Canis lupus familiaris: one gene and its partner. The protein of the gene in region 1 purifies or fractionates together with the protein of each later gene. This does not show direct contact. Links are inferred from orthologs where the notes say so. Each region holds a gene or a part of one and is shown on either strand. Other genes may lie near its edges.

Region 1 (5,246 bases):
TTCCCATTGAATTGAGGACACTGGTCTTACCTTACTCTCAGGAAATCCCTAATGAATCTCTGAATTCACTGTGATAAACAATGCACTGTGCCCCTTTATTTTGGCCTGAGTCTGACACTTATTTGCCATCGCCAGGGCAAAGCGACAGCCAGGACTTCACCCTCAAACACCAAACAAGAAGAGGAGGTACAGCCGCCGCTCCTGGGATGCCCAGATCAGGCAGTGGAGAAGAGCCCTGCATTCCTGGGATCCCCCCAGCCAGCCCCCGAAAGGCAGGAGGTCCGAGGGGTGTGTGTATTATTCTTGGTTCCTTGTTAGGAGTGGTGGACTGAGCCCTACCTCTCCTCACTTTGCAGAGGTTTAGCTTTTTCTGGCTGAAAAGGGATAGTCTGAAAGAGGTGCATATTCCTCTGACTCTGCCACTTTCCCAGCCAGGGAATGGAGCATCTCTTAGAGCCAATGGGTTCCACACCTACGGATGACCTCCTGGATGACTGGTTCCAGGCCCTGGAACCATCAGTGAATCTGAATGAAGACCAGAAGGGAGCCCAGGTAGTATCCTTTTCTAAAACCCATTGGAGCAGGGTTAGAGTAGGGTCTGGCCCACAAGGTAACAATTAGGATGGGATTCAAGGTAGTAGTCGAAAAACAAAAGAAGAAAAATTGGGCAGCAAGAAAAAATAGGACATGAATTAAAATATCTAAGAAAAAGGTGGCATAAGGACATTTAATTGTAGTTAACAATGGTGGGAAATTGGGCTGCATTGGGGGTTATTTTATACTTGATGAAAGGAGTACAATATTTCTTGGAATTGAGGCCTTGAAACCTGATATGGCTTTTTTAATGTCTCCTTTTATTTCAATATTTTGCAAATGAGCCAATGCTAACTTTACTTCTTATTCTCAGTCACTGAACTTTAATAAAGTATGGTTGATAATAAAAACAAGGATTACCAAGTGGAATGAAGACCAAGGGCTTTAGAGCCTCAGGACTGCTTTATAATATTACCTTTGTCCACCACATGGACAATCACTTCATCTCTCCAACCATTTCAACTGTCAAATAGGGAGATTTGTCTCATTTGATGATTCTAAGCAAAAAATAAGAATACATATTAAAGTATGTAGCACGGTGCCTGGCACATAATAAGTGCTCCACAACAGCAATTATTGGAAACTAGGTCTCCCCACTTCATGGCCCCTGTCCCCTCTTTTGCCAAGGAGAAATGTGCAAGGAAAGGAAATGTGCAGTGCATCTTCCTTCCACCCCCATTTTCTTCATAAGTAGCTCACTCTGCCTCTACTCTTCTTTTTCAGTTTGCAGACTTGGTACCTCCTGCCTACTCCTTTCCCTGGCTCTATGAGGAAGAACACCACTGGTTCTACTTTCTAGCTGATCACAGTTACATACCTGTCCCAGATTTGAATGAGGCACAAAATATTTAGAGAAAGCATATGTCTTTCAAGGGACGTGTTGCTAAGTGTAACAGTAAAGATTACCTGCATTACTGCTACTTCCCAATGGATTAAAAAAAAAAAAATCTAAAACTGCCCTACAAAGAGATCACAACACGAAAGCATTGTTTAAAACTTCTTTTTCCATTTCTGCCTGCTTTTCTAAACCTTCTTTGATAGCTGAGCCTCAAATTTACATAAGAGCCAGTAACCATTTTGCTGTTCCCCAACCTCCTCCCTACTAACGTCTACATTCAGGCTTCTCAAAAAAGACTTAAACTTTGGCTGAGGTGGGAGGTGATGGTAGTGGTGGAAATTTAATAAAGGGTGGCATCCTCTTCCTGAAGAGGAAATACAAAGCTATCAACATCTTTTACCCAGCTGCCTGTTTCCTTCCTCCCTCCCTTTCTGTCTTAAGGAAAGTGGTCCAGCTGTAACCACCATACTCCCCCCCCTCCCCCGCCCACCCCCGCAAGCAACTGAACCGCCTATGATGTCATAATCACAACCCCATTACCTCATCCTGCTGGGGGGTGGGGGTGCGTAGAGGAAGGAGGAGGAGTGAGCAGCCCTGGGCCCTTTTCAGCTTTACAAAGTGTTTTGGGTGAGGGCTAATTACAGAATCAATTGGGAACGGCCCCGCAACCGTTACAAGTCCTGGGTTTATAAGGTTGGAGGGTATCCGGCAGCTGGAAGAGGGGCTCCCGGGACTCAGAGCAGGCCCTGATCGGCTCTTGGACTACATTTCCCAGAAGTCTTCACGCCGCGGGCCGGTCCTCTGCTGGCGGAAGGGGGATTCCTTCTGAGAGGTGCCCGTAGAGGGCGGGAGGAGAGAGCAGGTAAGAGCAACTCTGGCTATTTCTGTTACGCGGCCCGAACCGGGTAGGGGGCCGTACTAGGGCCAATGTTGGAATGGAGGGCGAGGAGAATCGCTTTGTTTACCTTCGTCCGACACGGTCTCCCCCGCGGGTTTGGAGCTGTGCCGCCAACTGGGTCCGTCCACCTTCAGCAATATTTTGGAGGGGGTGACTCGATAGTGAAGAAGCCACCTTCATCCCTAAATCAAAGAGCTTGGCTCATTCCCGACAGCACTTTCCAAAAAAGATTTTGGGAGAGAAGCGACGCGGGGTTCGAGCCTCCCCGGGCGGTTCAGGGCGATTCTGCGAACCAGAGCGATTCCCCCACTCTCCTTCGGGGCCCGTTGGTTCGCGCCGGCGCCTTTTAAGGGCACCGTGGGGCGAACGGAGCGCTCAGAGCTGCTCCGGCCGCGGCCCAGGGAGCTGGAGGAGCCGCGGTAGGTGGCGAGGGCAGGTGGCGCTGGGGCCTCGGGGCGGGCACCTCGACTGTCCCTCCCTCCTTCCCTCTTTCCCTTCCCCCAGCCCGGCGGCGCGCGCGGCACGGCCTCTCTGGACGCCTCCACGGGGAGAGCACGGGACCCGGTGGGGGAGGGGTTGGTGGAGTGCTAAGTCCCAGACCCTTTCCATCTCCTGCGTCCTGAGTTCGCTTCCCGCGGCCAGATGATGGAAGCTGATTGGGAAGAGGCGAAAGACAGCCCCCCTGAGCGAGCCCTGGTGCCCCCCTAGGGGCTAGCGGACGCCCCATGCCCCACCCCGCGGGGACAGGCAGGGCAACCGAGGGAGAGGTTGAAGACTGGAGGGGGGCCTAGCCTTTTGCTTCTTCATCGGGGTGGGGGGAGGGGTGCTCCCCACTTGTCACCCCTATCCCCGCCAGAGCCATATGGAGGAAGAGCAGTCAGTTCCCCACTTACCTGTTCATGTACCTCCCTGCCTCCCTCATGTTTTTCTTTAGTGTCCCCCAGAGGTGTGGGGCTGGGACCTGGGGGGAGGGTCCCCAGGGGATTTGTGACTCTCCTCCCTCTTGGCTTGATTTGATCCTGGGTTCTCCAGGTTTCAGCACAACCTTAGCATCCCTGAAACCCCAACGTCAGGGGTTACTACCATCCAATAGTAGATGGGGTGGGGGTCCAGTCTTTATTTTAGGGGGCTGTTGGTGGAGGGAAAGCCTGGATTGAGAGTTGGGCCTGGTGGGGTCGTAGGGAGGGCCTAGCGGCCTGCTGCTCTGTGAAGGGCTGAGCCCTGTGCCAGTTGTTAAGCTGAGAAGTTTTAACTTGTTTAGTGAACATTCAGGGCTGTCTCTGCCCCTCAGATACACAAAATGGAAGGGGAAGGAAGGCGGCAAGAGAGGGTTTCTTACACTTTTTTCTATGCCTGCCTGAGAAAGAGGAGGCCCCTCGCGGAGCTGGTTTGCCTTCTTTTGTGTCCTGGTTTGATTCCTTATGGCTTCCGTTCTGTTCCCCCTCTCAGCCTGGCCTGTTTTAGGAAACTCAGGCTGAGAGTATCAGTTGCGTGGTGGTAGTTGCATTGTTCCAATTACCGCCGTGTGTGGCCACATCCCAACAATTAAAATGCAGAAAAACACAAAATCACTCTCTTCACTTGATCCCAGAGAGGGCTGGGAGTTTGCTGTTTGGCCAAATGCCTCATGAAAAGCTTGAAAGACTTTGCTTCACTCCCTGCTCTTCATGGCTGGTGAGCCTGAGGCCTGGGATCTCTGGGGTAAAAGCCTGCAGTTAGGGTCCCTCTCTAGTTGATCTTTTGGGGGCAGAGTTAAGAAACCAAGAGCAATGTGATATAAGCTTTAGCTTTTCCCACAAGATCATAGGGGAAGCCGCTGAAGGGAGCTCTCAGGAAGCTAGAACTTCTTTGAGGGTGGTAATAATAATTATGCATGAAAATGATAGTTAACTGTAATGATGGTTGATTTCTCCCACAGCTTCCAAAAAACTGCAGATACATCAACACGTAGTTCTTTGCTTTTCTTTACTTACTTCTCTCCAAGGTGGAACGGGGTAGAGATGATTCCCTCTTTTTGCAAAAGTAGAAAGTACTCTACCTCCAAGGTCACAGAAGAGCTGTTTGGGGCTTCCCTGGGTGTTCAGGTGAGGGAGGTTGGCATCCAGCCAAATAGATAAACCCAATTGTCCTCTTCAGATTAATGATATTATCACATGTGGCATTCTTAGGCTGTGTAGAGCAACAAACAGGAGAGTTTGAGAAACAGTCTATGTGGACTCCTGATTTGTGCAGGTTAGATGGTATGCTTTTTACACTTTGATATTTCACATTATATTGTACCCATGACACATTAAGACATTTATTCTGCCCATTTTACATGTAGGTTAACTAAGGCCAAGAAAACTCCAGTGATTTCCCAGAACTGTCCCAGCAAATTAACACAAGACGTAGATTTCTTGAATGTTTGTTATATCTACTGGAGAATGCTACATACACCTTCTGATGAGCTGTCTGCCTGCTGGTCATTTCTGGGAATAGGCGGAACCATATGGAAACACTAGGTTATCCTCCCCTCCTCCATTGAGCAAGGCCCCTCAGGCAATTGTGTGGGCTTGAAGCCTGTTCTCTGATGGAATTAGTTTGCTTATACTGAACTTGACCATGGGAAGGAGCCTTGATTAATTGAATCCATGGTCTTTGAGTAAGATCAGGCTAAAAACTTAGTTGAATGAAGTCATACAGTTGGTGTTTTTAACATGTATAGAGTTGAAATGTAATTGGAAAAATCCTGGTACCATTTCTCTATCTTCTTAACCCTTTTAGAGAGAATATTTACAGTATCTGTTGGAAAACAATAATATATCAAACACTGAAGCTTAGGGAGAACATAAAACCTTGTTTACTCTGATTGATCTGAAGCAGAAAGTCATTCCTACAACCAGTTCTCCTTGCTGTTCCCTGTTCCTTTTAATGTAG
Region 2 (4,732 bases), on another chromosome or scaffold:
CTGCCCATGAGTGGCTCACAACCTATAGTTCGAGTGAATTAGCAAGATGGAAGGGACAGGTTTCTGATACGATACTAACAGCTATATAACCCAGTATAAGTAAGTCATTAAATTTCGTTGGCCATTCTCTCTTATTTATAAATGCATGGACTGATCAAGATCTGTAATGCGTAACTTTTCTTTAAAAAATGAAAACTTCACAAGGTTTTAAACCAATGAAAGGCCAATTCCTCTGACTGCCAGAGAGTATGACTCTCCCATGCCCTCCTAGGCACTGGCTCTGATCCCCAAACATCTTCTAAGAACATAGACTGAAAACCCATGAATTAGAATAATTACACATAGTGTGTAGCTCTAAAATTCTATCATCTTAATTCACCCTCAATTATTCAGATCAAATACCCAATTTAAGGCTACTGGTCATCACTTCTTTATTCCAAATCATATTCTCAAAATTTACACAGTGATGTTTACATTGTTTTCAGAGTGTCCCTCAGGCCTTTTATCATTATTTTTGTTATACTGAAAATCTGTAAAATATAAATCAAAAGGCTTAACATTTTCTAAACTAACTTACTGTTCTTACCAGCAAATTAAAAAATCTCACCCCCATCTCAAAATCCTAAATTCCCCATTAGGATAATTGAAAAAATTTAAAAATGGATAAATGCAAATTAAAGACTGACCCAACATTTGAATATTTAAATTGGTAAGTAGGCATCTTTTTCTAAAAAACAATTTTCAGATTACACTGTCACAGATTACAATCAAAAACAAACTGTGAAAAAAGAGTTTTGAAAGCAATCCATTATATACCTCATTGGCTCCACTGAACAGAGGTTCTCCAGTGTGCATTTCAACCAAAATACACCCAAGGGACCACATATCGATAGCAAGGTCGTAAGGCATTCCCAGCAGCACCTCTGGAGACCGGTAAAAGCGACTCTGAATGTACTGGTATATCTGAAATACATGTCAGTATCATGTTAATTCCAGCATAAGTTTTGTTTAATTATGCTCAACGCTGAAGTACATCTATCTAATATTACCAGAAAAAGTAACCACCTATCCCCTGAATTTAGGTTCTGTTGACAGCTTTCAACTTGCTACTACAAATAATGTTTAAATAACTAAACACTTCAAGAGAGCAGTTACTCTTGACTGTGAAATGCAAAACATACACAATTCAAGTCCTTCCATTTATTCCAATCCTAACTGGTAATCAAAATACACACCTTTAAAACAAATAATTATGCCTCATCAGAAAAAAGATTATTATTGAAAACCGTTTGTTTCCCTATTAATTCTTCTTTCCTGCTCCGGCTGGCATTTGGTTAACCATAAATTTAAGGCCTCAATTGTATCTAAATTAACCTAAAGAATGTTTTTTAGCATTAAGTCAAATAGACTCAGTACAACGTAAATGAAAATTCAGATGTACTAACCACACAGATAAATTGGAAAAACAACTGGGAGTCGTTTCTGACCAATCACTTCTTCCCTATACTGTCCCCTTCCACCTCAATCTAAGGCCTCTTAGAAAAAGAAAATCTTGAAATGGATAATTTTCAATGAAGTAATCGAGAATATCTTGAAAGACCAATTCATCTTCCCTTAGCCCCTGTAAATTTGTATCTAGAAATATCATGAAAGCAAAGAAAGTTTTATTTAAAAAGAGAAAGAAACAAACAAAATCCTAATTAAACATCCTCACTTAACACTCAAACTAGGCAGCCATCAATCAGCATGGTGCTGCTTTCTCATGAATACTTTTGTGGCTCCCATCTAAAACTCCAGCCAAATCTCCAAGAGTAATCTGATGCCCCCATAAGCTGGTCACCTCAACCTTAATGCTGTATCAGAGTGAAGAAACTGAAATTCAAAAGGGCCAGGAGGAAGTTACTACATTTCCAAGTTTCTATAGGCCAACAGCATCGGTAAAGCCCCAAAGACTCCCTACTACTGAGATCGTCTTATTGCACAGCTTCTGCAAGAAGTCTGTTTCTCACCTATTCCGTCTGGTTATCTCCAACGCTGTGCACCTAAATCCCCTGAAATACACCAGCCCTGCCACCTTCTGAGACTGAGACTGTAGATCTAGGGTAAGGCCACCACATGTGTATTTTAGAAAGGACCTCTCATTCTAATCTGATAAACCCACATAGTTTAAACCTCACTGAGCTAAAGGGTTAATTGTCTTAGTTTGGCTGGTGAGACATAATAGTATTTGGTATTAGTACAGAACATATGATTTTATTTAAAAGGGGGGGAAATTTTTCCAAATCCAAATCCATTCAAAGGACTCTCAAGATGGGCATGTGTTTTCCACTCACGATATACTTTACCCACATGAACAACTATGCACATCTTCTGATTTTCAGGGGCATCTGAAACTGCAAACTTTGCTTTCTAATCCTTCAATTTATCTCAGTGATTTACAGAACACTGCTACCATGAGTAAGTTGCAGAAAAAAAAAAGCCAGATAACCCTGTGAGCTGACTATAAATCTTCATGATTAAAATAACCAGCCATATTTAAAACATGGGGAAAAAACTGCACAGGACAAGACTCTCACTAATTTGGAAAAAAGAAAACTAGAAAGCCAATACATAATAGTATCTGAATGTTAGTTGTGGTTTTTCATGTTTTTCCCCCAAGAAATGCAGTTTCAGCACTTTCAAGTAAACAGGAACAGGGTTCAAAAACGAACAAAATATTATTAAATGATTTTAATTCCTTTCAAGAAAAGAGTAACCTATCACTTCTGTTTTATATGTGCAACACTGTTAAGAGTAGCTTTTGTAACACTAGAAAGAAGAGCAGGAAAAATCTGGTTTCTTAGCTAAACCTGAATCTATTTATTGCTACAGATAGGTCTGTTTTTAGCAGTCTGAGGAAAACCAGTTAGGACACGTGTCAAAATTTATATAGGGAAAAAGAGACTTACATTTATTTATCAAAACAAGTATGTCTAACCAACTGTGTAATTTCTGTACTATATCACCATGTGTAATGCAAAATAACCTATACTGTAACACATCAGTTTTTAAAGAAAACATTTATTTTGATCTACCTTTCAAGAAGTATTTCATAGCACAGATTCAGTGTTCTAGTACTGGGAAATCCCCAAATTCATACTAAACCCGTTACTTACAGAATATAGCTACAAATCACCTAATATTTAATTCACTCATCTCCTATTCTCTCTCCCTTTTAGGCATACATGACTTTTTTTTTCAAATCCACTTTTAAAAAACTAATACCTTCTAATTCAGAATCTTATATTTGCATTTTAAGAGAGATTTCCCTCACAATAGGCTTAACACAATGTGATTCAAGCGGCACATTTTAAATAGAACCATCCTGAAATTATTTCCAAATTAGATATAAATAATAACACTTCAATATCTAACAACACTATTTTATTTAATTGTCTTAATTCCCAAGTCCTAAAATATACTTACCCTCTGCCCCAACTGACAAGAACTGCCAAAGTCAACGATCTTGATTGCACTGCGTTTGGGGTTACAAAGAAGGATATTCTCAGGTTTTAAGTCACAGTGAATGATACTAAGTTCTGGAGTCGCGAGGAAAAGCAGTGCAGTGCACATCTGCTGTGCAAACTTTCGTGTTAGGTTCAAAGAGACACCTCGAAAATTGGTGTTCCTCAACAAGTCATAGAGGTTGTAGGACAGCATTTCAAAAACTAAACAGAGATGGTTTCGAAACATAAAGTGGCGTTTCAAATGCACTGAAAGAGAAAAAAAAGTTTCATTTTAAATTATACACACCAATAAAATGAGACTAATGTATGCACGAACTCTCAAACAATCTACAACATTTCAATGTCAAATGGAGAGTGAAAATCAAGTTAAAATTTGGAGATCGGCATTCTGCAATAATAGCACAATCTATAATCAGGAATATCTAAATTGTTTGTCTGCTGAATTAAACAGGTGTGGTATCTGCCAATAAGCAATATAATGTTAGAAGTACCACCAAAACGTTTTGTTTAAAAAAAAAAATGAAGTCAGATCTGGAAACACAAGTAGCAAAGTGACAAACAGAACTGAGAATACTTCAGTAACTTTATGCTCACTTCTACAAGAACGCATTTTTTACTTCCTGAGAGCCCAACCTCAAAACTTCATCTAAGCTCCACCCACGGGGATCTCCAGGTTGTGACAGTGCCGTACTTGGCAGCTCTCTCTGGGAAGGCTTTCCGGCTCTGATACATATCCACATTCCGCTGTGCTGAGCCTTACATCTCACTAGTAATTTCCTGCAACAATTGTCAAAGGAAGACATAGATCTTTTTTTCTTTTAGGCAAATACAGCAAATATTTGAAAAGCATGCTTTACAAGATATTAGAGTTCATAATCAAGGCATCTGATTATGTTCATCAAGCTGGTATATGGGATATCTTGTGCAAAACAGAAGGTCTGGGGAAACTTGAAAATGAAGCTCAATCACAAGAATAAATTATAAGACTTATGAATGAAAAAAGAGTGTAAGAAGCCATTACATGCGATCACTGTTGACCCTCTAAAAAGGCTTAATACTCACTAAATTGTTTCAAAGATTGTGCTTTTAGTACTAACACTGACTGCACATCAGATGAGGTCATTCAATAAAGTAGAGTGCTGCCCTTCCCTGTAAAAATCTTATATATACCAAACTGAACCCTTGTAACTCAACTGGAATGACATAAAACCACCATCTGTCAAGGT

What was found. Proteins that work in one complex are often made in the same cells at the same time.
Region 2: the proteins of FAM53C (region 1) and DYRK1A purify together in Homo sapiens (affinity purification with mass spectrometry; 8 studies listed by BioGRID and IntAct, counting the BioPlex papers as one, with this or other methods). This does not show direct contact. The link is inferred for Canis lupus familiaris from reciprocal best matches to the Homo sapiens genes FAM53C and DYRK1A.

What each region holds. Positions count from the first base shown.
Region 1 is NC_049232.1:25,988,391-25,993,636, forward strand, and holds the start of FAM53C (protein FAM53C), read left to right. Parts: upstream 1-1,980; 5' UTR 1,981-2,294; intron 2,295-2,397; exon of another isoform or gene 2,398-2,749; intron 2,750-3,223; exon of another isoform or gene 3,224-3,241; intron 3,242-5,246. Other genes in the region: SLBP2 (uncharacterized LOC474694), read left to right, coding at 136-288, 432-552, 1,318-1,446.
Region 2 is NC_049252.1:32,307,528-32,312,259, reverse strand, and holds part of DYRK1A (dual specificity tyrosine-phosphorylation-regulated kinase 1A), read right to left. Parts: intron 3,753-4,732; coding exon 3,466-3,752; intron 964-3,465; coding exon 817-963; intron 1-816. UniProt on the Homo sapiens protein: Dual-specificity kinase which possesses both serine/threonine and tyrosine kinase activities. Exhibits a substrate preference for proline at position P+1 and arginine at position P-3.